Linked DNA regions of Tamandua tetradactyla. The protein of the gene in region 2 interacts with the protein of the main gene of each other region in a pairwise test. Links are inferred from orthologs where the notes say so. Each region holds a gene or a part of one and is shown on either strand. Other genes may lie near its edges.

What was found.
Region 1: the proteins of ARRDC3 (region 2) and TNFAIP3 interact in binary tests that used the Homo sapiens proteins (3 or more experiments, as listed by UniProt). The two-hybrid records come from large-scale screens. The link is inferred for Tamandua tetradactyla from reciprocal best matches to the Homo sapiens genes ARRDC3 and TNFAIP3.
Region 3: the proteins of ARRDC3 (region 2) and OTUB2 interact in binary tests that used the Homo sapiens proteins (3 or more experiments, as listed by UniProt). The two-hybrid records come from large-scale screens. The link is inferred for Tamandua tetradactyla from reciprocal best matches to the Homo sapiens genes ARRDC3 and OTUB2.

The regions. Positions count from the first base shown.
Region 1 is NC_135351.1:38,075,641-38,086,302, forward strand, and holds the start of TNFAIP3 (tumor necrosis factor alpha-induced protein 3), read left to right. Parts: upstream 1-6,562; 5' UTR 6,563-9,463; coding exon 9,464-9,869; intron 9,870-10,662. UniProt on the Homo sapiens protein: Ubiquitin-editing enzyme that contains both ubiquitin ligase and deubiquitinase activities.
Region 2 is NC_135347.1:39,849,282-39,859,424, reverse strand, and holds the start of ARRDC3 (arrestin domain-containing protein 3), read right to left. Parts: upstream 4,740-10,143; 5' UTR 4,495-4,739; coding exon 4,215-4,494; intron 313-4,214; coding exon 231-312; intron 1-230. UniProt on the Homo sapiens protein: Adapter protein that plays a role in regulating cell-surface expression of adrenergic receptors and probably also other G protein-coupled receptors.
Region 3 is NC_135338.1:54,988,624-54,998,863, forward strand, and holds the start of OTUB2 (ubiquitin thioesterase OTUB2), read left to right. Parts: upstream 1-5,505; 5' UTR 5,506-5,715; coding exon 5,716-5,718; intron 5,719-10,240. UniProt on the Homo sapiens protein: Hydrolase that can remove conjugated ubiquitin from proteins in vitro and may therefore play an important regulatory role at the level of protein turnover by preventing degradation.

The DNA.
Region 1 (10,662 bases), on a different chromosome or scaffold from region 2:
TTTTACAACTCTCATATTTCACTTCAACTTCACTGCAATCAATAGAGTTATAAACATCACGCCTAGGAGATGGTAGGGGGCCTCTCTGCCTTTGCTGATTGCATCCATTCAAAGGAGAAAGAAGAAAACGGTGGTCTGGCTCATCTTAGACACTGCCATATTTAGAGGCAGACTATTTCTTCTTCAATGAGTAAAACTGAATAGAGACACTAAGTAGCATGGTTGAGGACTTCAAATTTAAAAAAGACCCCTTTGGGAGAAAGGGAGAAAAATTCAACTTCCTCATTTGGAGAATTCCTGATTCTCACAAGCGGTGGGGACAACCAAATTAATAGTCTGAGCCCTCAGTCTTGGGGTTCACCCCTATGAAACTTATCTCCACAAAGGACAGGCTAAGCCTACTTAAAATTAGACCTAAAAGTCACCCCCAAAGCACCTCATTTGTTGCTCAGATGTGGCCTCTCACTCTCTCAGCTGACACAGCAAGCGAACTCACTGCCCTCCCCACCTCTACGTGGGACATGACTCCCAAAGGTGTAAACCTCCCTGGCAATGTGGGACAGAAATCCTAAAATGAGCTGGGACTCAGCATCAAGGGATTGAAAAAAACCTTCTTGACCAAAAAGGGGAAGAGAGAAATGAGATAAAATAAAGCGTCAGTGGCTGAGAGATTTCAAACAGAGTTGAGAGGTTGTCCTAGAGGTTATTCTTATGCATTATATAGATATTCCCTTTTTAGTTCATGGTGTATTAGAGTGGCTAGAGGGAAGTACCTGGAACTGTAGACCTGTGTCCCAGTAGCCATGTTTCTTGAAGATGATTGTATAATGATATAGCTTTCCCAATGTAACTGTGTGATTGTGTAAACCTTGTGTCTGATGCTCCTTTTATCCAGGGTATGGACAGATGAGTAAAAAATGTGGCTAAGAAATAAACAATAGGGGGAACAAAGGTTAAAATAAATTGGGTAGATTGAAATACTAGTGGTCAATGAGAGGGAAGGGTAAGGGGTATGGCATGTATGAGTTTTTTTCTTTTTTCTCTTTTATTTCTTTTGCTAGAGAGATATAAATGTTTAAAAAAATTATCATGGTGATGAATACACAACTAAGTGATGATATCATGAGCCACTGATTGTAGCCATGTCAAGAATGTCTGTATGTTTGTTTGTTGCTCACAATAAAATATATATATAAAAAGAGAGAGAGAGAGAGAACCCTTTGGATGGAATATATGATATGCAAATATATCTCACAAAAATCTGCAAAACAAAATCGGAAAAAAAAGAGGCCCCTCTTCTTTCCCATCTTCTCTATTTCCCCCTAACTTACATAAAAAGAGAGATCACTTCATAGGATTAACCCCCCCTCTTAGGATCAGTAAACTGCATGGATGTGTTTGGACATGCAAAATATTAGATTTCCTTAATTTTATGACAAACTTTTAAAAAATTAAAAAATTTCTGACATAGGAATTAGTCTGAAAATTCGCATAAGGAGAATCTTGCCAAACACCAGGAAGTGAAGTGATGTCACTGCCTGTACTTCTGTGAGTTTAGAAATGTTCATAGAAGAGGACATTCACTCAATCATTGCATTCATTTCATAAGACCTTATTTATTGAGTACTACAATGTCCCAGGCACACTTCTGGGCACAAGGGATACAGGGATGGACGATGACAGATACATATCCAGTTCTCACGGCATTTCATTCTAGTGTGGAAAAGATAGATTAAAAAAAACAGACCAATAAACAAAGACTTTCCAATTGGATAAATGCTGCAAAGAGAATGAAACTGAACAGGAAGGAGGTGTTGGGAAAGACTTCTCTGATTAATGACATGTGAGCAGAAAGCTGAATGCCAAGCGGATGGGAGAGCAGTCCCTACAGAGAGAACAGTAAGTGCAGAGGTCCTGTGGCAGACCAACCTGAGCTCAGCAAGATGAGGGAACCTCAAGACTCACCCCTGCTGAGTTATTTGCATTTGCAGCTCGAAAAGAACTTCAATTTAATTTAAATTTGGATTCCTATTTGTTGAATAAAATATCTACCAAAAGATACTTTATGATGTTCTACTGAAGCTAAAAAGAAAATCATGGCACAAGCGTGCATGGAAATGTTCTAAAGGAAGCAAGTATTCATCATCGGAGGATGGCTGCTCTTCCATGGTTTCTGGTCAGGCAAGGACCAAGGGCCTTTTTGGACCTTGTCCCCATGTAGAGATAAAGGTACTTAAATGTGCCATGGAGATAAAGGACATGCTTAGGTAATGGCAAATTCCTTTCGATAGCCAGAACAAGTATGTGTCCTTGAGCCCATTATCTTGAAGGATGATCTCTGAGTTTCTAGCTGACTCTCAAGAATAGCTTGAAGGGTTATGCTATGTTTTGGTTAATCTTAAAGTTCTAAAACAGACCAGAAGAGCCAACTACTGAAAATAGCCTATCACAGAATGCAATGTACAGCGATCTAGGCCAAAATCAGCTCAAGAGACTTACACACCTCCAAGACGCCTTAAAACCAAACAGGGATGGCTACAGTGAGAGGAAGTAGGAGTGGAATCATGTGGATTCCATGCGTGCCAGGGAGTAAAGGAAGGGAGGTGGGAACATTTCATGTAATGGAGTTGCCCCCCCCACCCGCCATGATGTTAAATTCCTGGCATGTCTTACAACCATGGACTCTCAGAATCCTGGATTTATAGTAGCGCCTTCTGCAGCCTACTCAGGTGCTTGAGATTCCCACCATTAAGCCTAAGGAGTTCTTTCCCAAGAAACGTAATGCAATAACACATGGTAATCTGCTCGAAACAAATGGACATGACTGATCTTATTAGATGAGTCAGTTGCAGAAAGCTGGGCACTGGGAGAAGGAAAACGAAAGGGTCCCTTTTCATGGAGATGAAGGGTGGGGGTGGCAAGCAGAGCAGGACTACAGGACCCCAAACTGGACTGAAGGGACTGATGGACAGAAGGAGAGAACGGGGCACGTCAAAGGGAAGATCCCGGTGGCCTGCCCTGTTCCGGACGTTCCCCTGGGGAGCATCCGGCTTACCTCCAAAGCCAGCACTGACCAGTCTGTTCCTGGAACCCTGTTTCAGGGCTTTCCTGTCAGGTTCATACCTGGGCATTCGTAGGCACCACCGCAAGAACTGAAATGAAACCAAAAACTGGATCTTTATATTCATGATGTAAAACAAGATTCCTTGCCAAGTGTTTCAGCCAAGTGTTGACAGGAAACTAAGCCAGAATTCATAGAGGGATCGGATTTTCTGACAAGTTTTGGATTTCAGCACACTGTGTTTTAGGCAAAGTGGAATAAGAGGAGCTGTCCTAGGCTGGAAGCCAACTGCTTCCCTCCCGGGGGAGGGTCTTGGTTCCCGTTGGGTTAGCTCCCCGTCCACCCCAGCAAAGCCTGTCAGGGGTCTGAGGTTCCCCGATAAGAAGCAGGATCTCCAAAGAATTGGGTATTCATGTGATGATGAAATTTACAGCCTTATTTCCCAGTTCTCGTTGTCCTTACGGCCCACAGCATCTAGTGTGTTCTCAGAACTAGCGCTTGCAGCTGCCCTAAGTAAAGGCCAACCTTAACACTTCAGCCCTCTCTGAGCTCAGCCAAGAGATCCTGAGGTTTGAAGCAGGATTCAAAGCCCTCCTCAATCACTAAAGTGCTATACTTACATAAGGTTGTTTCCAAAATATGTTTATTGTGAATCTTCCTTTTGATAAAGCACAATCCCAGGAAGGAGGGGTCAGGGGCAGTGCGGACAAGGGGCACAATGGGTTTGATTTCAGTTTGACCACGGATCCCAAGACCTGGGGTTCCCCATAATTTCTGGAAGGCCTTGTCACTGTCTCTTAAGAGAGGCTCGTGAGCTGCGGCTTGAAAAGAGCCAGATTTGGGTCCCCTTCCCCTTATCACCTATTGGCCTCTCTTCAGTCAGGTGGCTACTGCTTCCCCGCCCCCCTCCCCAGTATCCTGGGAGGCCCCTCCTGGGAATTATGCGGCATAAGCTGCAGGCTGCAGGAACAATCCACAGACTGTCCCATCCCAGAGGCCACGCATGCTCACTGCCACAACTCATGCCATGTGAACGCTGGCCCCGGGTAGAAACTGACATCTCCCAGGAACACTCCCCAACCCTCGGCGTGCTCCAAAGCCACTGTCCTCCAACAGGGAGATGCGGTTTCCTTCTGTGTCCACCAGGTGTTAAAGAACGTTCCTTCCGCTTTGCAGCACTCTGTCCACTTTGATAAGGTCCACAGCAGAAATTGAAGCCCTTTGCAAGGCTGTTGGGCACTATCTCCTTGGTTTCACTTCTTCCCACAAATTTCCCTAAATTTTATATCCCCTCTGCCATCAGGGATCTCTCTTCCCTCTTCTACCCATTCTTTCTGATTCACCACTAAGAAAATACTCCCTTGGTCTTGCCAAGTGCTAAGTACTCGGAAAGGAGAGCTAAGTTTACAGCCACAGGCAGCCTGACCCCGGAGGTGGAAAGAACAGCAGAAACTAGCCAGGGAAGGGCAGGCAGGTCTCAGGACACCTCTTCACAGGGACCATGGCTCAGTGGTAGAGTCACAGGAAACAGAGGAAGGGAACAAAGCTGAGGGCTCCAGACCTCTCACCTTATTATATGTACTAGCGGATACAATGGCAAAGCAGCTACTTCGGGGCAGTGAGAAGTAGGAGACCTAAAACGGCCTCTCAGCCTTGGTCTGTCATCTGAGCCCCCCCTTTCTAGAGCTCATCAAACCGGGGGAAAAGACACAAGGCAGAGAAGGGACCGTGGAAGCTGCTGGAGGAATCCGGGGGACTTGTCAGGGCAGAACCAGTAGGAGGTGAGAGAGAGCAGGCGACGTCTGTCTACAAAGAAGCATGAGGTGAGAGGGGTCCACTGGCTGGGATTCTGGGCAGGACGCTCAATAGCCAATTTCCTCTGGCCTCCAGCAAGCCCAGGAGGCTGTTCCTGTCAGGATTCCTGCGGGCTCAGTGCCTGCGGTGGGGGCCGTGGGGGCCCTGAGACTTTAAATCTGCGCAGGGCCCTTCTGGACGCTGGGGGGTGACCTAGAAGTTAAGACCCGCCAGTTTGGGCTCCGGGGTAAGACAGACCCTGTCCTGGTCGCGGTTCTGCCACTGACTGGTGGTGTAGACTTAGGCAGCTTGCATAGGCTTCTTCAGCTTCCATAGCTTCAGCTGCAAAGTGGAGTTGTTGCGGAGTTTAAAGGGCAGGCCACATTGCAAACATTTAGTCAAGAGTCTGGCATTTGGTAAGTTCTGGATAAATGTCGCCATTGTAATACTACCAGCCTGAGGTGCCAATGCTTGAGTGTGGACAGCAGAAAGCATTTGTGAAAGGGAAGGGGAGAGATGCCAGCAGTTGGGGGGGGGGTGAGGGGGCATCTTCAAGTACCCCGAGTGCACTTAAGGGCGCAGTGGTCCAGAGGTTTCCATCTGCTCTAGATCACCCAACCTGGGGAACAGGTGCCTGGGCCACCTGGGCATAGAAGGCACGGAGGCAGTTAAAGGAGCCCTGGTGCCCTGCCCCCAACCCACAGCCCTCAGGGCCAGGTGCGCTGGTTTCCCTACTGCTTCAGCCCCCAGGGGAAGATTAGCCAGCAAGCAGCACCTGGGGAGGGGGCTAGCACGGTGTTACCAGTCACAGGTACTTGGGGGTGAGCTGGTTGTGAGAACATCTAAAAGGACACCCCATGAGGCCTTGGGGACAGGCAAGGACGATAATGGACCTGGCCGCAGAAATGGAGAGGGGCACCGGAGCCGGCTAGGGCTGGGGGCTGCTCCGGTGCTCACTGCAGCTCAGCCCGGCCTGGCCTCGGAGGAAGCCTGGCCTCGGGGGTGTCACTAGGTGGTCACCCCGCCAGCCCGGCCCCGGCTAGCCCATCCCGTGCTCAGCCCCGAGTTCTGCAAGCCGTCCCGGCTCCCGGACACCAGGGTGGTTTTTCGGGTTTCTCTCTTTTATTTCCCTTCTTTTTCTCCACAGCCGCTGATTTTCTGCAGAAAAGCAACGGAGAAAAAGACCCGATTTCGTTTCCCGTTCCCATCACCGCGATTTCCACATGGATGTGACGTGGGGCCCGCTTCCGAAATGCCCAGGTGACTCACCGGGGACCCCCGGGCGGGCCGCGGGCTTTCTCGGCGGGGCGGGGCGGGGCGGCCCCCCGCGCCCCCTGGTGGCCGGCGAGGGCAGCGCGGGCCCCGCGGCGTCACGTGACTGGAAAGTCCCGAGTGGAAAGCCCCGGCGGGCGGCGGGCCCTAAAACAGAAAGGCGAGAATAGAGAACTGCCCAGTCTGCAGCCTTCGCGGCCCGCCGAGCGCCAGCCCCGCAGCGAGCCCGCGGGGGCGGAGCGGCGACAGAGGGCGCCGGGAGACCAGCGGCGGCGGCACGACCCTCCCCGGCGAGCCCAGCGGCGAGCGCACCCGGCCCTGCGTCCATGGGGCTCCCGAGCCGGCCAGCACGCTGACCAGGACCTCGGATCGCGACAGGGGGCCGCGACAAGGGACCCCGCGCCGTGGCCACGCGCTGCCGGTGCGTACTTGGCGGGACTCTCGGGAGGGGCCCGTCCGGGTTGAGAGATGCCGCGCCAGATGTTGGGGTGACAGCCCTGGGCGCCCCCCGGCGGTCTGTTCCTTGCACATACCGCCGAGAACCTGAGCCGCCGCTGGCGGGGGGAGCGTCCGGCTGGTCGGCGGGCCGCGGGCGCCGAGCTCCAGGAGGCGTCTGTTTGGGAACTAGGGCGCTGCATGCCCGCCGCCACGTAGCCTTGCACGACAGCCCGGGCCTCTGCGCAGACCTTGCGGCGCCGGCCCGTTCAGGGCGGCGACCTCGACGGGGAGGGGGCTTAGGTCCTCACCCAGCCAGGCACAGGGTGTGGGGGCTCCGGTTCATTCACCTGTCCTGGGACCGCGGTCAGACGCTCAGTGCCCTGTGCAGGGGGCGGGAGGGCGTGTTCACGCTCTGTGGTTGCAGTGGGGTCAGGCAAGTTTGCATGCAGAAGTGGGTCGTGGCCTGCCTTTGGGGGATCCAGCCGAGGAAAGCTGTGCAGTCGGTCTTTGTCAGCCCGGGACGTCCCACATCCTGCCACCTGGTCGCTCAGGAAAGTCGCGGTGTTAGGAAAGGAAGGCGCACCACTCTCCCAGACCGCTGGGTTTTCAGTTCTCCCTGCCACTGATGTGTCCTTGGAAAGCCTGCCGTCCAGCGGCACTGGGCGGCGTTTTGCTGGAGACCCTGATGTCCCAGATTACAGAGCAGCCTGGCTCATGCCCCAATCTCATTGGCTGAATTGCTTCTTTGATTTTTTTGCGATTCTTTGCACAAGTTTTGAATTTGGGGATCTAGTGAGGAATTTGTTGATAAATAATTCATAAGTATCCCCATTGTGGACAAGAATATGTGCCCAAAGTAGAAAAATAAAACAGGGGGACAGAGACTTTGAGTGATAAGTTCTATAGCATCTCCTTGGTCCTAGTGACAAAAATTGGGAATTTATCTTGACGTCAAAGTGAGGCAACAACTGTTTAAAAAAAAAAGTTACCAGTCATATTGCATTCCTTTGAAGGAGGCAATATTGTTTGTTATGAGAGTTTAATCTATGAGTGAGATGACTCTGGCCAGTGATACCAACATTTGCATGTCCTGCCTATGGTCTGAGGCTCTCACTGTTTTAGATATTTGCAGAAAGATCTTTAGGTTCTGAGGAGAAGAGAGACAGAGAAACAAGAGGCTATTCTTAGCTTGTCTAAAAGCATTTGGCTGCCTGTCTGTCTGAGAGGCCTCAGGTGTGGTGCTCCAGGCAGGCATAGGAAGACCTGGCTTCTAGACAAAGCTGTCCCCCCAGGGATGGCCGAGTGGCCTGAGCAGGTCCCCTGCTTCTGGGCCTCCATTGCCTTAAGTACAGGCTTGAAGGGCTGTGAGGTTTCATGGAGGGGGTGTAAGGTCAGCATCAAGTATGCACCTGACTTCTACAGATGGTGCTCATTAGAGGGATGGATGGACAGATGAATGAATGAATGACATCGTGAAAGGGACTTTAGCTCTGCCACTGGGAGAAGTGTGCATGGTATTTTGTCCCGTCAGTGTTTGTCCCTTTGTTATTATTTTGCCCACTTTCATCTGCAGCAAATGACTAACCTCAAAGGACAGTCACCATCTTCCCAAGAGAATGACTTGTCCCAGGTCCCACTCGGCCATCAGATTAAGAATCTCAATCCAAAATTATTCCCTGCTCTTCAGAAGCAAACTCTCTCCTTTGAGTGGGCCATGAGAGGTTAAAACACTTTTTCAATGACTTGAAGAGATCCTGAACCCACCCCAGAGTGGCCTCCCTAAAACCTGGGCTGCTTCTCTTCCATGCTTTGTGGGGTCAGTGTCCTCCTCAATGGAAGCTTGACTTGCCTGCACAAAGAGTGCCATACAGGGATGGGATATGCAACATCCTGTGCCCTGAAATCACCTACGTCTTCTTCCTGAAATTAGGATATGTGACGAGGCAGCCTAGAAGGGCCGGTGAGGAGGAGCTGGGTCTCCTCAGCTACAGGCTGGAAAGCTCCCACGTCCCGCTGCTTCACATCATCCCACTCGGCTGGCGTGGGCTGTCTTTCATAAGTCCTGGCTGGACCTTTCTTCCTGCTTCCCACCCTTCATTTCTTCCCACCGGTTGGTGATGTTTGTAGATTTGGGGGTGAAAGGCCAGGTGGGAAATGCATCCGTGTGGTCACCTGGAGAACGATGATGACATTTGCTTGGCAGTCGAGTTGAAATCACTGCACTCCAGTGCCTGCTCTCAGAAGCGCATAGCTCATTATTCTGTTATTTTCTGTCCTACGTATTATTCTGACGTTGTGGGGCTCGGCGGAGAGGTTCTGAAGGACAGCCGACTGCTGGTGCTGACTAATTGCAAGGCAGCTTGCTGGAAATAGGCTTCTTGGTTGATTATAAAACAGCCTGTTTTAATTCTGTCAGTCTTTGGTGCAAGGAGAAAACGTGGATCAGCAGCCAAGGTGACAGCAGAAAAACCGTAGGCTTTTCCCCCAAATGTTTAGTGTCCTAGGACAGGAAGAGAGTGCTTAAAAGAAAGAAACGAAGACTCTGTGTCAGAACAAGGATTGCAGGGTAGGCTGGGAGGGTGGGTGGGGGGAGGGCCTCCAGGCTTGCTGGCCACACCATGCCTGTCACCTGTCACCCAGGGGCAGTCCAGGAGGGCGTCAGAATGAAATGGGAGCTGAGATGGAGGAGGCGGCCCAGTACCTGAGAGACATGACTGAAAACCCGGGTTATTCCCCTCCTCCTCCTCCTTCTCTTCCTCCTCCTCCTCGGTGCCCACTCCCCACCTCCCTGCTCTTGTTTAGACTAATCTTTAAAACAGTCTAGTGTGAGTTCATCTTTAGGGCTGGCGAGTGTCCTGGAAATAGAGGTGACAGATCTTTTGCCCACCGGTTAGGGTAATGGCAGGCTCAAACCCTGGGGTGTCCTGCAGGCAGATATGTAGGAGTGATGGCAAAGCTGGGCTAACGGGGTGGTTTTTCCCCCCTTCTCTTCAGGTGTGCTGGGGCACGATGGCTGAACCAGTTCTTCCTCAGGCTTTGTATTTGAGCAATATGCGGAAAGCTGTGAAGATAAGAGAGAGGACTCCAGAGGATATTTTAAAACCTACCAATGGGATAATTCACCATTTTAAGTCCATGCACCGATACACCCTGGAAATGTTCAGGATGGGCCAGTTTTGTCCCCAGTTTCGAGAGATGATCCACAAAGCTCTCATCGACAGAAACTTCCAAGGTGCCCTGGAAAGCCAGAGGAAGCTCAACTGGTGTCGAGAAGTCAGGAAGCTGGTGGCGCTGAAAACGAACGGTAAGATGTGCTGTCACTTCTTCTGTCTGGGAGAGGGTCTCCATTAATTAAATTTCACTAGCATTAACGCAAGACTCCCATCTGCTGAGGCTATAGCAAGGCAACTCTGCGAGGGACTCGTGGTAAATTTCCTGGGAATACTTTTCCTGGGGATCTTCTCTAATTGTGTGTAGTAGAGAGCAGAGAGCCTGGGGACTGAAGGATGCATTTCTAAACCTTTAGATACACAGTAAAGCAGTTGACGTGTGTCTCATTCTTGTGACTCTTTAATCATCTGTAAAATACCCTTCTCTGCCCAGTAATGGAAATATTAAAAGGTTTTCAGTTCAAACGAAAAGCATGGTGTGAAAATTGGCTGTTACCACTTTTCCCCATTATAATTAGAATATGCCTGTGCTGGCCCTAACTTCTAGAATTGATGGCATGCAAAGCATTTTAACCAGTGAATAGCTGTTGTGGACAGCAGGGCTTCTTTTGGCCCCTCCCTCTAACCTCAGTTCTATTGCCTGTGGTCCCAGAAACTGAAATAGGAAAATACTGGAGATTTGTAGCCCAGATTTTAGATCTCTCCGCCACTGTTTTTGGCAATTCCTAGTCACTGCTTTTCTTCCCGTCCATTCCTACTGCCTAGTGGTCCTTTACCACTAGCAGCTGTTTGCGGCTTTAAGCCTCACCGTTTTGCTTTTTAATTATTTCCATTGAACCAGAGCATGTACTGGTTGAAGAAACATCCAAGCATTGTGCTTTATGCAGACACAAAATTCTACTTTGTGGATGTTGATATTTGTTGCAA
Region 2 (10,143 bases):
CTAATCTTGGGGCAGAGTATTAAGAACTGAGCTTTACTTTCTGTAATTTTGCCACACTAGACAAAAAAATAGCCTCTTACGTTTAATATATTGTTTTCCTCTAGCAAGTTCCAGCTAGGAAAAGGGTTTTTTTCTTTACTAAAAAATACTTAAATTTAGAATATTTAATTTTAAAAGAGTGCTTTTGACCACGGGTATTTATGAAACAGCCTATTACTCATAATACTTACGTCTGTGGAAGCTCGAAGCTGAATGCATATTCATGCCTTCCTGAATGAATAGTGTTGAAACCTTCTTCAGAATTATCATCATCTAAAAGAAACAGAAAAAAAAAAGCAAAAAACTTGTTATTAATCCGTGACACATTCCTCCCGGTAGCTTAACTTTAAACATGTTCAATAATGATTAAGGCCACAAGGTTTGTAGATCTCGATTTTAATCCCATCTATATTACTTTGGGGAAGACAAAAATTAGAAATCCAGTGGCCTCATCTGTAAAATGGGATAATTACTACTTACACCCCATAGATATATATTTTTTTAATGTAAAATGACCCGAACTGTAAAGTATCTGAGTCTAATATTCGTAAAAGTTTCAGGGTCTCAAATCATATCAAGATAATCTAATTTTTGTCTTCAACTGTTTTTCATATTAAGGCTATAAGGCACATAACTAAAACAGCTCAGGTAAATACTTAAAAATACATGGGGGTGGAAGGGTGGAAGAAGGGAGGGAGATGCAGTGACACCAAAGATGTGACTAAAACATACATGTTACAATTCTAACACCATTAGAAAACTTTCTGTCAAATAGACATGGAAATTAAAAAAAAGAGAGAGAGAAGGAATATGATTTTAATGTTTCATAGCTAAAAATAAAAATTCCCTATCGAACTTAAAATGATGACAACACTCAGTTTTCCCCTATTTCCTATAGCAAGAGCCAAAATTTGCATATATACAAAATATACCTTACTAATTATAAACGATAGGATTCAAAGGGTGTTTGCTTCTGGGAAGCATCGTCCCACACCCGTGAAAATCAAGTCTAATAAATAAGGCTGTGCCAATCGCTAGGAAAAAGAGAGAATCTTTACTCTAACACCAATTTCTTTTGGTCAAATGTACTATTTTTTAAGTAGCACGAAAAGATATCTTAAACGTGGAAGGGGGTTCGAGATCTTAAAAAATGTTTCTTTCAGCGTTCTGTGCTAGAAAATGTAATCGTATAAATGTCTCATTTAGGTTTAGAAACCTCTATCATTAGCCACAAGAGCCTGGTACTATCATTTACCTTTTCCTCACCTAAGTATTGAATATACATAAAAACATGCTTCCCTCACAGCAAACGATAAAGGAAAAAAAAACACCTACAAGTCGGCACTTTTATTTAAGAAAAAAAAAAACATGATGATTCGCTTATATCTAAGTACTATTTTCCCAGTCCCTGTGAAATCTGAAAGGATTTCAGCCCCGAAAACTGGCTGGTGAGTTGTGGACCATTTAAACGATCTCCCCTCGAAGCCGCCCAAAGTTTGCCTTCCTCTCCCTTTCTTCCCTTCTCGCTCCCTTTTTGTGCCAGCTCAGCAGTCTCATTGAGGCGAGCGGCGGCGGCGGCGGCGGCACCGTGGTAAACAAGTGCCGGGCTGTCAATCAAGAACTAGACCCGAGCAGGAGAGGACCGGCCTAAACCGGCGCGAGCAGATCCCAGCCGGCCCGCCTGCGCGCCGCCGCCGTCCGCGCGCCGCGCTATACATACGGCATACGTTGCGCGGCGCTCGCGCCCGCGCAGCCTACCCTGCTAGATGAGGGGGCGGGGCGAGGGCGCCGCAGCGCTTCCGCTTTACACGCCCCAGCCGGCGACCGGTTCGATCTGGCTCGGGCCACCCTGACACCTTTACAGTCAGCGGCGGGGGAAACTGGGGCGGGAGCACCGGGAAACAATAGGGAAGGGGCAGTGGGGGTGGGCAGGGAATATTCTTGCCGAAACCTTCACCCAGATTTCGATATCAGAATCACTTTTACTTCTACTGGCCAGTCTTGGTTATCGCTCTCAGGTCAAATCAAGGTACCCGGTCTGGTGACTGGCTGAGCAAAACACCTTCTACCCAGCAAGCAGGGCCCTGCTAGTCTCCCGCAAGTTTCCCTACGAATAGGATTTTCAGCTAAAGTTGTGTCCAGAGCCATCAGGGACCTGTAAGGCCAACACAACCTCCTTTCGGTGAAGCCTGAATTCATTTTTTTTCTGTGGACACAAGTAGGGCGGGGTGAGGGGCGACAGAAAGAGACGTGACATGGGCCGCGGGCGTCTCCAGAAGCCCCGGGAGGGGCGCAAATAAGGGCGGAGGCGACCGCAGTAGAGGCACCTTTACCGGCGCACGCCGGTTCCAAGCCTCGCCCCTGCCGGCACTAACCTTCTCTCCCCATCCGCCCGCGCCCAATCCAATCAGCGCCTGGCATCGCCTTAGCAACAGGCTAACAAACCCGGCTCCGCCTATCGCGGGCCGCCCGAGGCGGGGCTTTAGCTACCAGGCTAGTTTGAGAGGTCCCAGTTTTAAGTCATTGAAACTATTCCAGCATAAGAGCTCGTCCATGCTTTGCACGGGTTTGGGGTCTCGAGGGTCGCGGGGTAAATAGTCTTTTTACCATAAAATTTTGGAGCAAGTAATGAAATTGTATTTGTCCCCACAGCTCATATTTGCTCCTTTTCCTCCACCATAAGTCCCAACTCCTTAAAGGAAAACCTTTGTTTCTTCTCATCCATTTTTAAAAAAGGCTGCAATCTCCAGAAAGGTTCACTCATACTTACACAAACTCATGTGTCTGCTTTTCAACAAATGCCAGGACTGTCATTAGGCATTTGCATATTGTACTAGTGTTAATGCAAAAATAAAAAAAAAAAAGAGAAATTGTTTCAAGATACAAATTACCTATGTATAGTTATGAAAAACCCTATTAAAGAATTGATTGCATCTTAATATTCTCAAAAATAGTGCATTCATTCTGCAACTCAAATCATCTTTACACTCGCCTTAGGTCAATTAGCAGTTTCCCCAGGGATGCATATAAAAAAAGAATTAAAATATGCCTCTATTCTTTCTGAAAAATCGTCAGTATTTGAACTAAATACTGCATTAAAAAAGAGAAGCACAAAAATTACATAACCAGTTTTAACATTATTTCTTCTTGGGCTAGGAATTAAGTCATCGCCACCACCTGACGCGTGTAACCAATCTGCTGAGAGCAGAACAAGCGCCCCTCCTCACCACCCCCCAGAACTGGTCCGAAACAGGATTGAACCGCTTCTAACAAAGGGTGGAAACTTAGAAAAACAAGCTTAGAGTCTCCTATATTTCCACAATGTAACCATTTAAACAATAGATTGGCGATCTCGGGACCCCTTCTCCCTTTGGTAACCCTTTAGCTGTCTTTTCTAACCAAAAATCAAATCCAGTGTGCCGAATACTTTTCAATTCCATTTGACTGGCACTGGTTTCATTGAATGCACGTTCCAAAGTTAGACATGATGTTCAGAAAAGAAAATTACTGGCCCTAAATGGCTTCTAAAACTGACTTGAATTGTACCATAATGTTAAATACTGACCTTTAAAATAAAAAATGCTTGATGTAATTTTCTAAAGGAATTGCAAAGAATAGGGGAAAACACGTGGGGTGTTGATACCATATGTCAAATAGCCACGAGAAACCCTTTACCAAATAACAATGATCACTCCTTTCAGGTCTTTGGCGTGTCATATTAAAAATGAAATACACCTATTTACCCACTTAATAATGTTATTCCATTTCTCCACAGAAACTCAGTTTTTAGAGGTCAGGCTGCAAAGTAAAAGGAAAAAATCTAATACTGGAAAGCAGCTTTTAGCAATTCATTTGAAAACATATTAGTAAAATTACTGGATTAGATTTAAGGAAAAATCATAAGTAAGGTGCAAATGGATTGCAAGTACGTATGGCACAGACCGAGCCTGATACTAGGGGTAGTTGAATAAGTGCAGTTTGCAGTCACTTTGCAGATGCTTGCATGCATTACGGCTTAAAACACTATGTCAAGGAGAATCCAAATCTTCCAACTTTGCTAACCTTTATCAAACTGCTCTATGTTAGGAATAAATTACATTAATACAGAAAAATCGTAAAAAATACTTTGCCATTGAAAACGGAGTTGATGACTTTCAAATTACACAAAAACTTACCTCTTTCGTGCCCAATTAAGATGTCTTTATGGTTGAAATATTCTACTTCTTCAGTGTAATTCTGTGTGTAGGCAGTATTGGAGCCGGCGTTTCTAGATTCAGTCCAGCGTACTTTCGCATGCCCTCTTGCATGAATTTTAAGAGATTTTACTCTGATTTCTCCTGTAACTTCTAAATTCACCCTTCCTGAGACTGTATCCCCACTAGAATACACAGGGACATTACTGTCATTAAGACAGTCAAAGCTTATTGTCAAACTCTTAACCTTTCCCAGCACCATGTTTATAACAAAATCTACAAAAATATAATGTAAGACAAAAAAAAAAGTCAAGATCGCATATAAAATGAGATCTTTACTTAACACTGATCAATGTCTTTGCCGTGCAAAAGCTTGCAGGCAGGATCAGCGATTCTTTACAAATAGTTCATTGAGATTTCTTAAAAAGTCAGGGCAGCAGAGAGGCTGGTCCTCCGCGCTCCTGCTCTTCTCAGTGGTCTCTGTACAAAGACGGGCGGCTGGCGGCTGCCAGCTCACTTTAAGAGCAGCTTTGTGAAAAACAACCCCAGTGCGCACGCGCACGCCGCGGCTGCTGTCCGCCCTCCCTGCGCGCCCCCTCCCGGGCCCTGCTCGCTCCCTGGCTCGCTCGCTCGCGGGTACAGTAGGTGTAGCGCCGGGGAAAGGAGACGCTGGGTCCGCCGGCGCGCTCAACCTGACTTCTCTTCATTGTGGGCTCCTATTGGTAGGCAGGCTACCGTAAACCCTCGACGTCCCGTCTGGAGCCCCTTACCAAGCACACTCTAATAGAAAGATAATGGTAGAGTGGGCGCTAGGGGCCGAGGGCTGGGTGGGGAGCTGTTAGCAAAGCCAAGTAAGGATAAACTGCCGAGTGAGGGACCGGCCCGAGGCGTGCGTTACCGGCGCTGCAGGGCTTTGCCCACGGCCTGGGTGGGAGGAGGAAAAAGTGATGTGTGAAGGGAGATGGGGGAAGGGGAGAAACCGGTTGGGCAAGCGGCTGATTGCCGAGCATAATCTAACGAATTTCAAAAGAAAACGTAATAAAAACCAGACAAGAAATATTGTTCATAGACAAGAACATTCTTGGTTTATTGTTTATATCAGTACTTTGTAGGCAGGACGAAATGAACTCAGTCGAAGCCAAAGGGATCCTAAAAGCGAATACTATAAGGAGCAAGAAGAAAATCAAGTAGAATTTAATCAGTGTACTTGCTTTCTTCTCCATCTCGTCCTTAGCTAGCAACGAAAACCAACCAAGTTGTCTCCATGATGACACTAGGAGAAAAAGGCTTGACCACTTCCTCGAAGGAAGAAAAAGTCCTTTTTAAAGACACCACCTACGGCCAGATTTGCAGAAGATGACATGATTGCTGATCCTGTGTCCAGAAGAGTAAGAATAGAATTTGGCCTTAAAAAGTAACACCTTATAAAAGGCAGCATGGCATGGTAGTGTAGCTGACATATTGTTTAGAACAGGGTCGGAAAAAATCTTTGTTAGAAATTGGTGTAGCACACAAGATGGCTTTAAAAAAAGCATGGCCTGATATTTTAAATGGGGCTTAATACTGTAAAGCTTTAATTTTGATTTTCGGCTGACAGTCTTGGACTGTTCAACACAGTAATTCTCATAATACATTTTAAAGAGAAATGCATTGCTTCCTTTTTATTGTGAATATTTGTTAAGAAAAAATAGCAACATTGATAATAGCACACTGGGGTTCTAAGCATAACAACGGTAAACTCATCTAGCAGTATTAGCAGTAAACAGAATTGCATATAAAAGAGAAATATAGAAAGAAAAAATATGAATCTGGAACTATATATATATATTTGGCCAAATATACTTCAGAAGATTTTTGGCTGTTCACTTGTAAATATTTTAGATTCTTTTGTGCGCTGTATTTGTATAAGTTGAGCCTATGAGTCACAATAAACTAAACTCATCGATCTTGTTTTGCTTTTTCTGAAGAAACTAAATTTTATTTAGTTGGATTTTAGCTGTTCAATATCTTGGACTCAACAGTGTTGTAGAGTCCAAACATGCCAACTATCTGGACAGTTAATGGGCAAGCCATTTATCTCTGACAAAGAGTTTAGATCGTTATGTTTTAAAGTATGGATTTGTGTATTTATTTGTGTAGGGGGAAAATAGTATTTTTTTTCTCCTTCTTGGCTGACACCTGGTGGAAATTCAAGTTGGTAAAGTTTTTGAGACCTCTACAAGCTGTAACAGACACTACTTGTTGTTTTTCGCCACCTAGTGGTAACTTGATTGAATTTGCTAAAATGTCAGTTTTTAAGCATTTAAATGACATTGAACAAGGAATGGATTTAAAAGTGCTCTACACAATAAGCCCTTCATTTCTAAAATTATGTTTTAAATTATTAAGGGATAGTGAACAATGACTGAATTCTTCAGTGTTTTTAGTAAAATGTCTCCATTAGAGTATAGCATATGTCTAAAGAAATGGGCATTAGCTTGTTAAATAACCTAGACTTGCAGTTAATCAAAAGGAACCCTCAGAATTTTACCTGTCATTTGGAAAATTATTTTAACACATTAAATTATTATAATTCACTACTATCACTGTATTTTACAGTATTCCTTCTGTTTAAAGCCTTGTGGATATTATATATCATTATCTTTATTATTATTTTGCTTTTTTCTTTATTTTCTTTTTACCGTGTCTTTCTAAACCCTTTAGTAAGTGAAAAGTTACCAAGAAAGAAATTTTTATCCCTTATCATTTGTCTTTGGCTCCCATTCACTAACCCTAGTTATCATTTTCCTTCGCTTTAAAATCGGTCACGTGACTTACCTTAAGTACCTAAACTTGAGTTTACTTGCTTCATTCTGCTTTCCTCCTCCTATTTTTTAAAACCATGAAAAGACCAGAAAATTCGACTGCTTTTACGAAACAAAAAACTCTGACACCTCTAAATCCCTTATCTTTTCATCTCTAAAAAGCAAAGAAACTTGGGCCAAAGTTTGAGTGCTTTTTCTTGTGATTCTGACATTCATAACCTCCCCTTTTCAGGACTCCCTGTCTAACTACTCTTTAGGCAGCTTGAAATGCTGTCCTGTAGCCATTATCTTGGTCTTCTCAGCGTGTTTCATGGGGCCCTTATTGTTTTTTTTTTTACATTAAATTTAAGCAATTCATCTAACCACCAAGACTCTTTCCTACTGCAACCAGCCTACGTCTCATATGTCATCTCCTCCTACTCATCCTCTAACTCTCTATACTCCTGTCAAGTACATCTTCTGTCCCCTTTGTTAGCATGTCCCGCTGTTGCCAATGTGCAGTTACATGCTGCTTTCTGTGCCCAGAACAACATCCCACTACTATGTTATCTCCTTTCCTTCTAATCCCTCCAATAGATTCAGTTGGCACAACTGAATAAAGTTTTAACTAGACAGAATAACTAAGCCCTCCCTTTTATAGCTTCTTCAGACCTTAATTGGGAATCTTTTAGCATGGTATTTGTTTTTTGGATTTTGAATTAAATGGCTATTCCACCTTAGTGTATAAAAGTTTGAACTCAACCTCAGAAACTCCATTAAAAACTGATGAATATAATCACTCTTAAGATATATAATATTGAAGAGATATGTCAAAATAGCTGCAAAGTTTGGAGTTTTCACGTAAAATTATATTAAATGCACTTTAGAAAGCAAGCCATCTCAATTGAAAGTTTTGTATAAGAGCCCCTTTTGTGTATAACTGTAAGAAAAACCATACCAATAGTCAGAATTTGTTTCTTAAAGAAAAATATGAAATCCATACTTAATCTTTATTTTGACCGGCACCTGACAGACTTGAGTGTTGTAGAATTAAGAGAGTTTTTTTAAGTCTTAATTCTGTATTTCACAACTTTTAAACTCTTTAACATCTTCAAAATTCAAAAAACTTGACTTTTGTGTGGATAGTGGAGGGAAGATTTGCTGTATTACTAGCAAAATGAATAAGATTTTTTTTATATTTAATAGTTTTTTTGTGATTTTAATCAAGTTCTTCATACTTAAAGGGCATGTAAATGTGTCATATACTTTGTGATAAAATTCAGTACCAAGTTTGGTTTCTGTTCTCTCATTAAGACGTAGTGTGATACGTGTCATGTGAGTGCCTTTGAATCTTTTATTTTTATTTCTTGATTTAAGAAAAATCACCCATGATTATTTCCATCTAGATGTACAACTAAGAAAGAAGAATATTGCCAGTTAAGCTATGCCAGTGCTTTGCTATCACATAGAATTTTTTTTGTTAGCCTCTTTGTCATTGAGTGGTTTGTGTAGCTGTATTGTCTTAACTGTGGTATTGTCTCCAGAATTTTGTCCTAGGCTGCTTTCACCCTGTCTTCAGATTTTGATGTAGTTGTACTCTTAATTTGCCATGAAGTATCAACTGAAGATTTTAGACAACAACTAGGAATTCATATTAAATGGGATTAAACACAGCACATGCAGTGACAATAATGCACAAAACTCAAACGAAAAGACAAAATCATGGACATTAAATATGACCAAGTTGATGGTACTTACAACTATGTTGTGACTGCCTCCTTGCTGGCAGCTGTAATGTGCTATGGATTATAAAATGCATTATGATTTAATAGATGTTTAAATGAAAAAATTGTGTGCTTTTGAATCTATGAAAAAAATTATGCACGTACACACATACTTCATTATGTATTTAACAAGATTCATAATGGCTGCATAGTATTCCATGTGGAATGACCATAATTTATTTATTTATTTTATTTTTTGCACGGGCAGGTACCAGGAACCATAATTTATTTAACTACTTACTCGAGTAGGACTATCTGATTGCTAGTTTAATATGTATTTCAATCCCAGTTATACCCGGCCCTTTCTGAACTAGGTCAAATGTGCACATTTTAAATAAAAAAGAAAAGCAATGACACTACAGTGAAAAGATTGGAGGTATTTGCTGAGAAAATAATTGTACTGGAAGCATTTAATGCCTCCTTTTTCTCTTGTTCCTCAGTCTTTCTCTCTTCTGTCACTGATAGAGACATTTTGGAGAATGAGTTACATAAGCAATTTGAGATATTTACTAAAAAGCATAGTAACGCAGTAATCAATGGTATTTTTTCCCTTTTCATACTTCAAAATTTATCCTACTTTATTTAAGGGCTGAAAGAATATAATAAAATAGCTGAGAATGTAAGAATTCTCATATTTTGAGAATATTTGTATTCTGATTTTGTGCTCAGAGACCAAAAATATTATGATAACCCTCAGTAGATTTATTAAAAAAGAGAATGTATTCTGTTTCTATTACTATATTTAATGAGGATTCTCCACTTATGGGCAGGATATGACCATACCTGCTCTATACAGAAGCTTGGAGTTTCTTACCATGGTAATATTGGTAGACATAGAGAAAGAAATGAATGGAAATTAGAAGACAATATTGATTCTACTAAGTATTTTAAAAACTGAGTTAGATCTCGGAGGATTAGTGATTTTTGAAAACTATTTCAGTACTCAACTAAGTGATAAGTTCTGGATTATACAAGGACAGAATTAATTTTACTCTTTGGGAGAGATGGTGGACTTAGTATTTTACTATCTCTAGTATTTTATTGGTAGTACTTAAATATTTATACACAAAAGCCCTATCTTGAATCAGCTCAGCTCTCATGTTACCAGCTTTTCTATTGTTGGGGAATTTTACTGGCTACCACATTGAATAAGTAGCAAAATTGAGAATTGTATTTTCCAAAGCTTGGGTGTTTTTGATAACAGATTTGATTTATTGACTCTAAGGGATAGTCGCTTAAGTGAATTTATAACACTATTGCATATTAAGTTAGGTGAGTTAGGAAAGTTTATTCGTCTGGTGGTTTCTGGCCTACAGGAAGGATCAGAAATGATAAATCACTTTT
Region 3 (10,240 bases), on a different chromosome or scaffold from region 2:
CCAAAGCAGGGATGGTGCCCATCTCCTGGGAGCCAGCAGGGCCTTCCTGTGGGCCCTTTTGAGCCCTGCAGGCCTCCTGGCCCCACTGGCCTTCAGCATGTTAGGACAGGTGGGATGGAAACAAAATAGAAAACAGGAAGGTTTCCATCTCTCTTTCTCCATATATATACACATATAATCAAGTTTTTGTTACTAGATTATTCCCAAACAGTTAGATAGATTGTTACCAAATATGGAAGATGGGTTTGGGAAAATCTGATTAAAAATGAGACCTCCCATTGACAGGGAGGGCTAAGGGGTATGGGATGTATGATGTTTTTCCTTTTATTTCTTTTTCTGGAGTGATGTAAATGTTCTAAAAATGATCACAGTGATGAATACACAACTATGTGATGATATTGTGAGCCATACCATGTATGGAATGTTTACATGTTAAAAATGTTTGTGTATGTATGATGTTTTATCGATTAAAAAAAAAAGAGAGAGACCTCATGATATCTACTAAACTGGCCAATGGGGCTCAGGTGGCTCTCATGTTTCCCCCCACCACGCACACACACGCACCTACTATCTCCCAGGCATTGCACTAGGTTTGTAGGACAGTGTATTGTCCTCTTGGAGCTTTCTATCTTAAAGGCAAGCAAGCTATGAGACTTAAAACAAGGGTCTGCCAGAGACATTGTCTCATCTGAAAGCTCAACTGAGGAAGCATCAGCTCCCAGCTGGCTCATGTGGCTGTTGGCAGAGGAAGTGCATAGACTGTTTGACAACCTCAGTTCCTTGCTGGCTTTTGGCTGAGGGTGTCTCTCAGCTCCTTGTTCAGGGACCTCTCCAGAGTAGCTCACCACACAGCAGCCAGCTTCCTTCAGAGCAAACGAGGGTTCAAGAGAGAGCAAGCAAGGCAGAAGCCACAGTCTTTTGGTAACTCAGAAGTGACAGTCCATCGCTTTTGTTGTACTTTATTAATTAGAAGCCAGTCCAAGTTCCCGCCCACACATAAGGGAGGGGATCGCGCAAGGAGGTGGGGGCATTGGGGCCATTTTGAGGCCCTGTCATGGAGGCACCCAAGGTCTTGTAGCGGGAGCCAGGTACCCTGTCCATTCCAATAAGTGAGGACCAGAGTTGGGACAGGCAGCTCTCTCCAACCTGGGGATACCCCACTGGCCTCAATTTCCTGGAAACAACACCCAATGCTTTCTCATAAAAGCCAGCAATGATTTTCTGCCCAGTCTAGGGGGCTGTATGGGTTCTGAACTGTAGGAACATCAATTTCCTAGGCCCTCGGGAGCCCACAAATTGGCAGCTGGCTTGGAAATAGGGGCATGTATTACCCCAGCCAGGGCTGTGGCCGGGGTAAATCTGGAAAGTAAATTGCAATATGATGCTTACCAAGCTTTGTAAAATGGTTGTTCTTCAGATTCTCTCTGGCATTTGAAAAGCCAGAGCAGCCTCCCATGGGGCCGGCGCTCCATCGCCATCTCCTGGCCGTCCCTGGGCAGGACTGGCCAAGGAGCAGGGAAGCCCTGGATAGTTGTGTCAATAGCCCCGGGCTTGGGGCCTGGTGGATCTTGGGAGAACCTGCCTTCCTGCTGCCTGGCCAGGTGGCCTTGGGCACAACCCTTCATTCTCCAAACCTCCATTCTGTTGTCTGGACAGTGGGGGCAGGGACACCCGCTTCCCATGAGAGAACATAGGGACAAGTGTGTCATTTACTGATTGGTTCGTTTATACCACCTCTGTTTCATCACAGATTCAAGGTGGCCCACCATAGCTCACACCTCAAATGAAAAGATAAATAACAACAAAAATTCAGGACAGATCACGTAAACCAGACCAGAAATTCAAGGCAAGGAGAAGTAAGACCGCAGGTAAGGCTGGAGCACCTCCTCCTCCCACACGAGCTCCCAGAGAACAGCGCCACTTTCCTTATTCCCCCTTTCTTTCTCTTTGAGCTGTGCCTGGCACTTTGTAAATGTTCAAAAAGTGCTGATGAGTGAGCAGATCTTTTAACCCAATTATTTGACCCAATATCGGGAAGCAGCGATTAGTCTGAATCTCCAAGATACAAACCTAAAAGGGAACTGTGTCCGGTGTAAGATACTTGTCCAAGATCAAACATGCTAGGGTTTCAGGGGAAGCAAAACTTCTCCTGGGAACTGCCTGAAAATGTAGAGCTGTGTTCCAGTAGCCATGTTTCTTGATGATGATTGTATAATGATATAGCTTTCACAACGTGACTGTGTGATTGCGAAAACCTTGTGTCTGATGCTCCTTTTATCGACCTTGTCAACAGACAAGTAGGACATATGGAATAAAAATAAATAATAGGGGGAACACATGTTAAAATAAATTTAGTTTGATAAGCTAGTGATCAATGAAAGCGAGGGGTAAGGGGTATGGTATGTATAATTTTTTTTTCGTTTTATTTTTGTTTCTGTTGTCTTTTTATTTCTTTTTCTGAATTGATGCAAATGTTCTAAGAAATGATGAATATGCAACTAGGTGATGATATCGTGAATTACTGATTATATATGTAGAAGGAAATAATCATATGTTAAGGTTTTTGTTCGTTTGTTGGCAAATTTTTTTAAATTAATAAATAAATTTTTTAAAAAAACAAAAAAACTTCTCCTGGGAGGTCTTCCCAAGAAACACACACCAGAGGGAGACCTGGAGTGACAGGAAGAAAGATGCCATTCTGTCCTTTGGGAAGCAGTGGGTGTCAAGAGTCTCCCTTGGGGTGTGTCCCGTGACTGAGGGCTGGGGCAGGGGACCCAAGTACAACCACGCGGGGGCCACTAGAGGGTCCCGCCAGCACAGACAAGTTCACTGTGGGACCCTGGGCTGAAGCCCAGTGAGCCCAGCAGGGGGTGGGGGTGGGGGGCCCAAGTCAGGATTTGAGCCCTGGACCAGGCTCTGAGAGAAGCCCGGAAGCAGCCAGTGGGGGTTATATCTCTAATCCCTGGAGAGAAGAAATATCACATTGCTTTTGTTCATTTTCCACTAACATTAACTCTCCTGGTGTGTGCTACCTCCCTGGGCTAGTGGAAAATTAAATCTCGTTCATTTGGGGGCTCCCTCCCCATCTCCATCCCCAGGGGTGTACACCACCCCCTCCAGATCACAGCAGCAAGGGCACCATAAAAGAGCAGATAATGTGTGACGGGAATTCAGAGGAGCCGGAATTTGAAAGATGGCCATTCTCGGAAGAGGGTACTGTGTGAGCGAAGGCTTCGAGCTGGGAAAGCATGGGGAATGTTCTGGACACTTGAAGCTATTGCCTTAAGTTCACATGTTGGGGAAGTAGGAAAGTGAAGGAGAAAGGATTAGAAAGGCAGGCTGGAACCACACAGAGTGCGTGAGGTGGGGCCGGTCTGGGGAGGCTCTCTGGGTCTAAGCAGCCAGAGAAATGGCAGACCACGCATGAGCTGCACGGGTCGCAGAGCCAGGCCCCAAAGGCTGAGTGTCCAGCACTCGGGCTCCCGGGACCTTTAATGTAGGACAAGATACCCCTGGCCCCACTCTCCCCCAAGTTGTGAGTTGAGGGGAACAGTCACTTCATGTCGCCCATCCAGGCACCTGGACACCAGGTAGAAGGGATGCAGGAAGAGGAAGAGACAATTTCTTCCAGATGGAACATGTTTCTCCCCTGCTGTGAGGAGAACTCCCCAGTCCCTTTAGAGATTGTTCACACTTTCAACCTGGACCCGGCTATAAACCCAAATGGTCTCTTTGCAAACATTTTTTCTCTTCTAACCAGTGCATAGAGAGCCCAGGAAGAGGCCTGATTAGTTCCTGACTAATTAAGAAGATGCAATTGTCCTGCTCATTCAAACTACAACTGCACAAAGATTCCATTACATATATACTGAGATTCTAAGTAAAATTGTGTTTTTCTTTTTAAAAGCTTCACTACCAATAATATTAAAAAAAAAACAAAAATAACTTTTTTTAAAAAACTGTCCAGATTATCCAACCCGTTCATTGAGTGAGGATTCAAACCCATCGAGAGCCTAGAAGTTGCTTAGGGATGCACAGCAGTGAGTGGCAGAGACTCGAGTCAACCTGGGGTCCAAAGCTCCTTGCTCACTGCAGTCCAGTGCTCCTTTCATGCACCAAGGCAGCTCGGTCTATAGAGGGGGTAGGAGAGATTGGAAGGGGGTGACCAAGCAAAGGCTCCTTGCCCCCACCCCACACCCACACCCTGTGAGACCACATCTCGCTCAGTCATTCCTGCACAGGTAAAGCTTAACACGTCCTGGAATGAGCACTATCCGAGGAGTCAGAAGTCCCAGTATCCAGCCCAGCCCAGTCACTGTGCTAGTCCTGTCACCTCTCAGCTTCCTTGGCTATAGAAACAAAAAGCAGAAACTCTCCAAAATCTGCCAACGGGATTCAAGAGCAGCTCTGGAGTCATACTACCTGGGATCGAATCCCACTTTGTGCTGTGGGATTCATCATTCTATGCCTTGATTTCCTCATCTGTAAAATAGGGTTAGTAGTACTAATAACAGGGCAAAGCCCCATGAACTAGTCGTGAGAATAAAGTAAGATAATAGATGTTGAGGGCTTAGGGCAGCGCCTGATACATTGTAGGTGCTCAATAAAAGTAGGCTGCGATCGTTATTGCTTCCTGAGTCTCCAGCAATTCCCAGCTCCTATCCCCCAGTAAATGATGACCACTTGGAAGGCACAGATGTCTCATCTGTCCAGGAGCTTAGCCTGGCACCTGGGCAGTGGTGGTGGTTGGGAGGTGGGAGGTGGTAGAAGAGTGTGTGTGTGGGGTGGGATAGGAAGGGAATTACTCAATAAAATTAATAGGTGGAAGTATTAATACTTACAATGGGTGCGGAAATGCATCAGCATCCCCTTCCCCATAAATCCTCCCTCCCCCACCTAAAGCAGCCCCTCCAGGGCTCAGGGGCTGATGAATGAATCTTTGGATGACAAATATTCCTATGTTTGCTACTCTGTAATAATGAGCTTGTACGCGGGGTGAGTCACCCAGACCTGTTTCACTGTCTGGGCCTTGGATACATACATGTAATTCCAGAGCCACCCACCCAATCATCCTGGAAATTCATTCATTCAACAAACATTAATTGGGTGTCAGGCAACCTGCTGAATCATGAGTTGGGAGGGGGGAAATATTATTTGGAAGCTGCACAGGGGCAAGAGGTTAACTTAATGTTATTGGACTTGTGGTCCTTAAATACCTCTGATCTTGAGCCAGCTATACTTAAGTGGCCTTATTTATGAATTAATGAGGGCGAGCTAATCTCTCAGAAGACCTCAATTTACAGTTTTTTTCAAAGGCCCTTGAGCTACGAAGAAGGACCAGTCTTTCTGGATTGGGTTAACTTTGCTAGCTAAAAGCTTTTTGTGTCTTTAAAATAGGGTGGTGCCCTGTCAAATGAGCCCTAAAACATAGGCTGAAGAGACGTGAAGTCCCACCCACTTTCTGTGACGTCATGTATCCCGGCTTCTGATTGCCCGCTTCAGACGTCAATCGCGGGGCGTGTGTCTTGCTGGGACACAGTGGAAGTCTCGCCTCTGGTTTGCGGAGCGGTCGGGTGTCTTCTCTGCACACCCCCACGCCCTCGAGGCCCCCGCCGCCCGACCCAACGGCGAAGCGGGCCGGTTCCTCCCGCGGCGCCCTCCCGCACGGGATCGCTACTCGCTGGGGGTAGACCTGGCCCAGCGGCTCCGGTCACTATGGTTAGTGGTCTTGGGGGAGCGGGAAAGGGGAGTGGGCGCGGTGGGCGGGGTTGCCGCCCGGGCGCAAGTGCACTCCCGGGGGCCAGGTTTGGTCCCCAGCTCCGTCCCCTCCGCGCTCTGACCCGCGGCGGGAGTGCCGAGCCCAGGAGGTGCTGGGGGCCCCGTCCTTCCTCGGAAGGCCCTGCAGGGCCCGGGACGCGCCCCGCTGTTCCCCGTGGGCGCCCCGTGAAGGGGATCCAGCCGGATCTCCCCGCTCCCAGCGCGTCCACCCTGGGTGTCCCCGACAAGACTGGAAGCGGGGACAGGGACGCTCCAAGGCGAAGGGTCGACCCCTCTTCGTTAAGCAGCCCCCGGCCGGCGGCCCACGACAGCCCCCACCCGTGGGCTTAGCCACCAGGCCCCAGCCCCGCACCCCCCAGGGTGGATCTAGGGGTGGCCTGTTCCGTGGGCTGCTGGATATTGGCTGTGTCCCTACAGCGGCAACAGAGAGTCTGTCAGTTAGAATCCACGTGGAGAGGCTGCCTCAAGTTGTGCGGTGCATAAATTAGGGCTCTAGGTGAAGCAAAGACTAAAGGAACCCCTGATCTGAGTCGGCGCTGAGTAGAAAGAGCCCCAGGCTTGGGCAAAGGGGAAAACCCAGAACCATATGGGGAAAGGGCTGGTACTGATGTTGGTAGACCTGAACCTTGAACCCATACCTCTGAACTCCCAGTCCAGTGCTCTTTGTGTTACATAAGCCCACTTTGCCAGTTGCCGTGGGGGTCAGGCTTTCTGCAGGGGATTGGATGTGATGCTGACCCAGGAATGTAAGGGTAATGCCTGGCTTGGGGTTATCCCAGCAGCCCCAGGCTCATGTCTCGCTGCCACCCCTTCCCCAGTGCTGCAGTGGATGGAGGGAAGTGCTTAGCCCCAGGTATTTAGCTGCAGCTTCTACTGTCATAACAGAAGCCTGGAAATGAGTTTGCACAGGTGATGATGGGTCAGCCTTCTCCCCACCCCTGCGTGGGCTGGGAAATGGGTCAGCCCTGTGGGATGCTGCTGGAATGGGTACAGGTCAAAGCTCGGTCATGGCCTGGCACGTTCTGGGTGTGCTGTGGGCTGCTGGGTCACCTGAGCTGGGGTTGCAGGGACAAGCTGCTGTGGTGTGGCTGCGGGCCCCTAGGCATCTGGAGGCTCCAGCTTCCTGCTTCTACCTGGGGCCCAAGGGTTTATGTGGTTTTGCTGCTTCTGGAAGGGGCCTAGGTGTTTTTGCTTCCCCATCAGGGAGTGGCAGGAGGTGGCCTGGGGCTGGAGACTGGCATATCCTCTCATCAGCACCTGGGTTGCTGAGGGCATGGCAGGGGTGGTAGGGCTGGGACTCCCTTCTGCCCTTCGTGCTGCACAGTGATGTCACTGACTCCACTCCCCCATCTGCCCAGGACTTAGGAGCCAGGAAGTTAGAGGACAGATGGGGTCAAATGCACGGAGCATTGAACTCTTAATCGGACCCTTGTCCCATCAGTGGAGGCTTGTGGGATGGGGAAATGGATAAAGGGGTTAACCCACTAAATAGGATGTCAGCCTAGAAATAGCCTGAGGCAGATGTTGGGCAGGGTCTGTCCTTTTCTGCTCCTGCCCTACTTATTGAGCATCTACTGTATGCTAAGCTGTGTGGTGGTTTTTCACATTGTTTGAGTGCATGTGTGGTAGGCAGAAAAGTTTAACAGATCCTTGAAAAATACAGTATCTTCTTCCCTTTCCCACTTGAAAGTCACTTGGCTGAACTTGAGGAAGGATCTTAGGTAGAAGCCCCTTGGGGGCAGGGGGGAAGGGGGTGAGAGCCAGGCCTGGGGCTGCCTGTGGCTACGGGCCCTACAGACTCTGAAGAGTTTCGTGCTTGGAGTGCCATTAACCTTTGTTAAATGAATGAGTTAGTCAGACATAAACAATAAAAGCAAAGGGCTTTGTTCTTTCAGTTGCTAAACAAGCCCCTATAGGCACCCTGGCCAGGCCCCAGGCCCCATGCTGGGCAGTAAGGGGATAGACAATGTCCCCACCTACTTTAGGAGCTCATTCCCTGGTGTTCAAACCGGAGGTGGACACAAGTGATCCCTGAGCCACTGCTTTTGGTCTAAGGGATCTCCTCCCTGCAGGAAGCTGGTGGACTCTGGGAGGGAGGGGGACGCTCCAAGAGGAGGTCTTTTTCTCAGTTGGGTATTAAAATATGTTAGTATGTTTAGGAGTTTGCAATTGGGCAGAGTGTACTCCAGGTAAGACAGTGTGCTTAGAGGCCTGGAAATATGGTCAAGAATGGGTATTCTGGGAAAGACAGGCAGCCTGTGTGGATACAGGAGCTTGGGGAGGGAGAGGGGATGAGTCTAGAAAAGTAAGTGAGGGTCAGAGTGTGCTGTGCAGGCTTCACATGCCACATCGTGGAGTTTGGGTTTTATTCTGAATATGGGGGTAACCATAACCGAGGACTGATAAGTAAGAAATAGCTGACTTGGAAGATCTCTGGAATTGGAATGGATAGAGAGGTGGAGGCGGCTGGCTGGTGTCCGAGACCAGATCCACCGTTTGCTCAACCAGCCACTCGGTATACATTTTTGGAGCATTACTGTGTGCCACACACTAGGGATCCAGCTGTGACAGGCAGACAAGTCCTTGTCCTCATGGAACTAATGCTCTAGTAGAGGAAGACAGGCATATGCAAGGAAAAAAGTGAACCCACGTGTCAGATAATGCCCTTAAGAAACAAAATAGTACAGAGGGAGAAGGGTTTGGGAGTACATGTGAAACCAGAAGGAAGGATAGACGATAAAGACAGAGATGGTATAATCTAGGAATGCCTAGAGTGTACAATGATAGTGACTAAATGTACAAAGTGAAAAATGTCTTTGTATGAGGAAGCACAAAGGAATGTCAGCATTGCAGAGTGCTGAAAATAGATGGTCATTCATATTTTAAAACTTCAACTTCTATGTGAGACTAAAGGTAGAAAAGTTTATTTGGTGCAAAATTTATATCTTGACTAGTGCATTTCTTAATTTAACTTGTATGGTCAGTTTAATCGAACACCATAAGTATATGGAACCTTGAATAGGGCATGACATTTTCTTAGTTTTTCCAGGTTAGTGTGATGCCCCAATAAATCCGAGTGATTTGAACAGTGAATAAAAAGTATTTGCAAAGTCCCCTTGGGGGAATGGGGAGAAAGGGGGAAAAACTGAACTTCCCTATTTGGAGAATTCCTTATATTCTCCTAAGCAGGGGGAACAACTAAATCAAAAGGACGAGCTCTTGATCTTGAGGTTTGCCCTAATGAAACTTATCCCTGCAAAGGACAGGCTAAGCCTACTTAAAATTATGCCTAAGAGTCACCCCCAGAGACCCTCTTTTGTTGCTCAGATGTGGCCTCTCTCTCTCTCTCTAAGCCGACACAGCAAGCGAACTGACTGCCGTCCCCCTCTAAATGGGACATGACTCCCAGGGGTATAAACCTCCCTGGCAATGTGGAATAGGAATCTTGGGATAAGCTGGGACTCAGCATCAAGGGATTAAAAAACCTTCTAGACCAAAAGGGGGGAAGAGAGAATTGAGACAAAATAAAGTGTCAGTGACTGAGAGATTTCAGAGTTGAGAGATTATCCTGCAGGTTATTCTTGCGCATTATATGGATATCCCTTTTTAGTTTATGTGTGTTAGAGAAGCTAGAGGGAAGTACCTGAAACTGTAGAGCTGTGTTCCAGTAGCCCTGTTTCTTCAAGATGATTGTATAATGATATAGCTTTTGCAATGTGACTGTGTGGTTGTGAAAACCTTGTGTCTGATGCTCCTTTTATCTACGGTATGGACAGATGAGGAAAAAATATGGGTAAAAATTAAACAAATGATGGGGGAACAAAGGTTAAAATAAATGGAGTAGATTGGAATACTAGTGGTCACGGAGAGGGAAGAGTAAGGGGTAGGCATGTATGAGTTTTTTCTTTTTTATTTCTTTTGCTGGAGAGATACAAATGATCAAAAAAATGATCATGGTGATGAATACACAACCATGTCATGATATTGTGAGCCATTGATTGTACACCATGTATAGAATGTTTGTATGTCAAAAAAGTTTGTATGTTTGTTTGTTGTATACAATAAAAATATTAAAAAAGAAAATGGTAAAGTGATAGGGTGGGGAGGGACACTTTAGACAGGGTGGTCAGGGTAGGGCTCTCTGAGGAGGTTATGTGCTGCCTGAGTCCTATGAAGAGGAAAGCAGAGCATTCAAGCAAGGACAGCCTGAGCAAAGGTCCTGGGGTAGAAATGGGCTTATCCATGCACCCCAGCAGCCCAGGCTCTGGGGCCCAGTGGGCAGTGCCAGCCCTTGGTCAGCCCACCTGCCTTGGCAACGGCTGCCCCAGCCTGTGAGTCGGCCTCATGCACCAGGCACAGCCCACAGAAGCCACCACTCCCCATGTGGCCTGACCTCGGGTCACTGCCTCCTTCATTCGGTCTCATCTGCCAGGAGGGCAGGTTCAGAGCTAATCCCATAAGA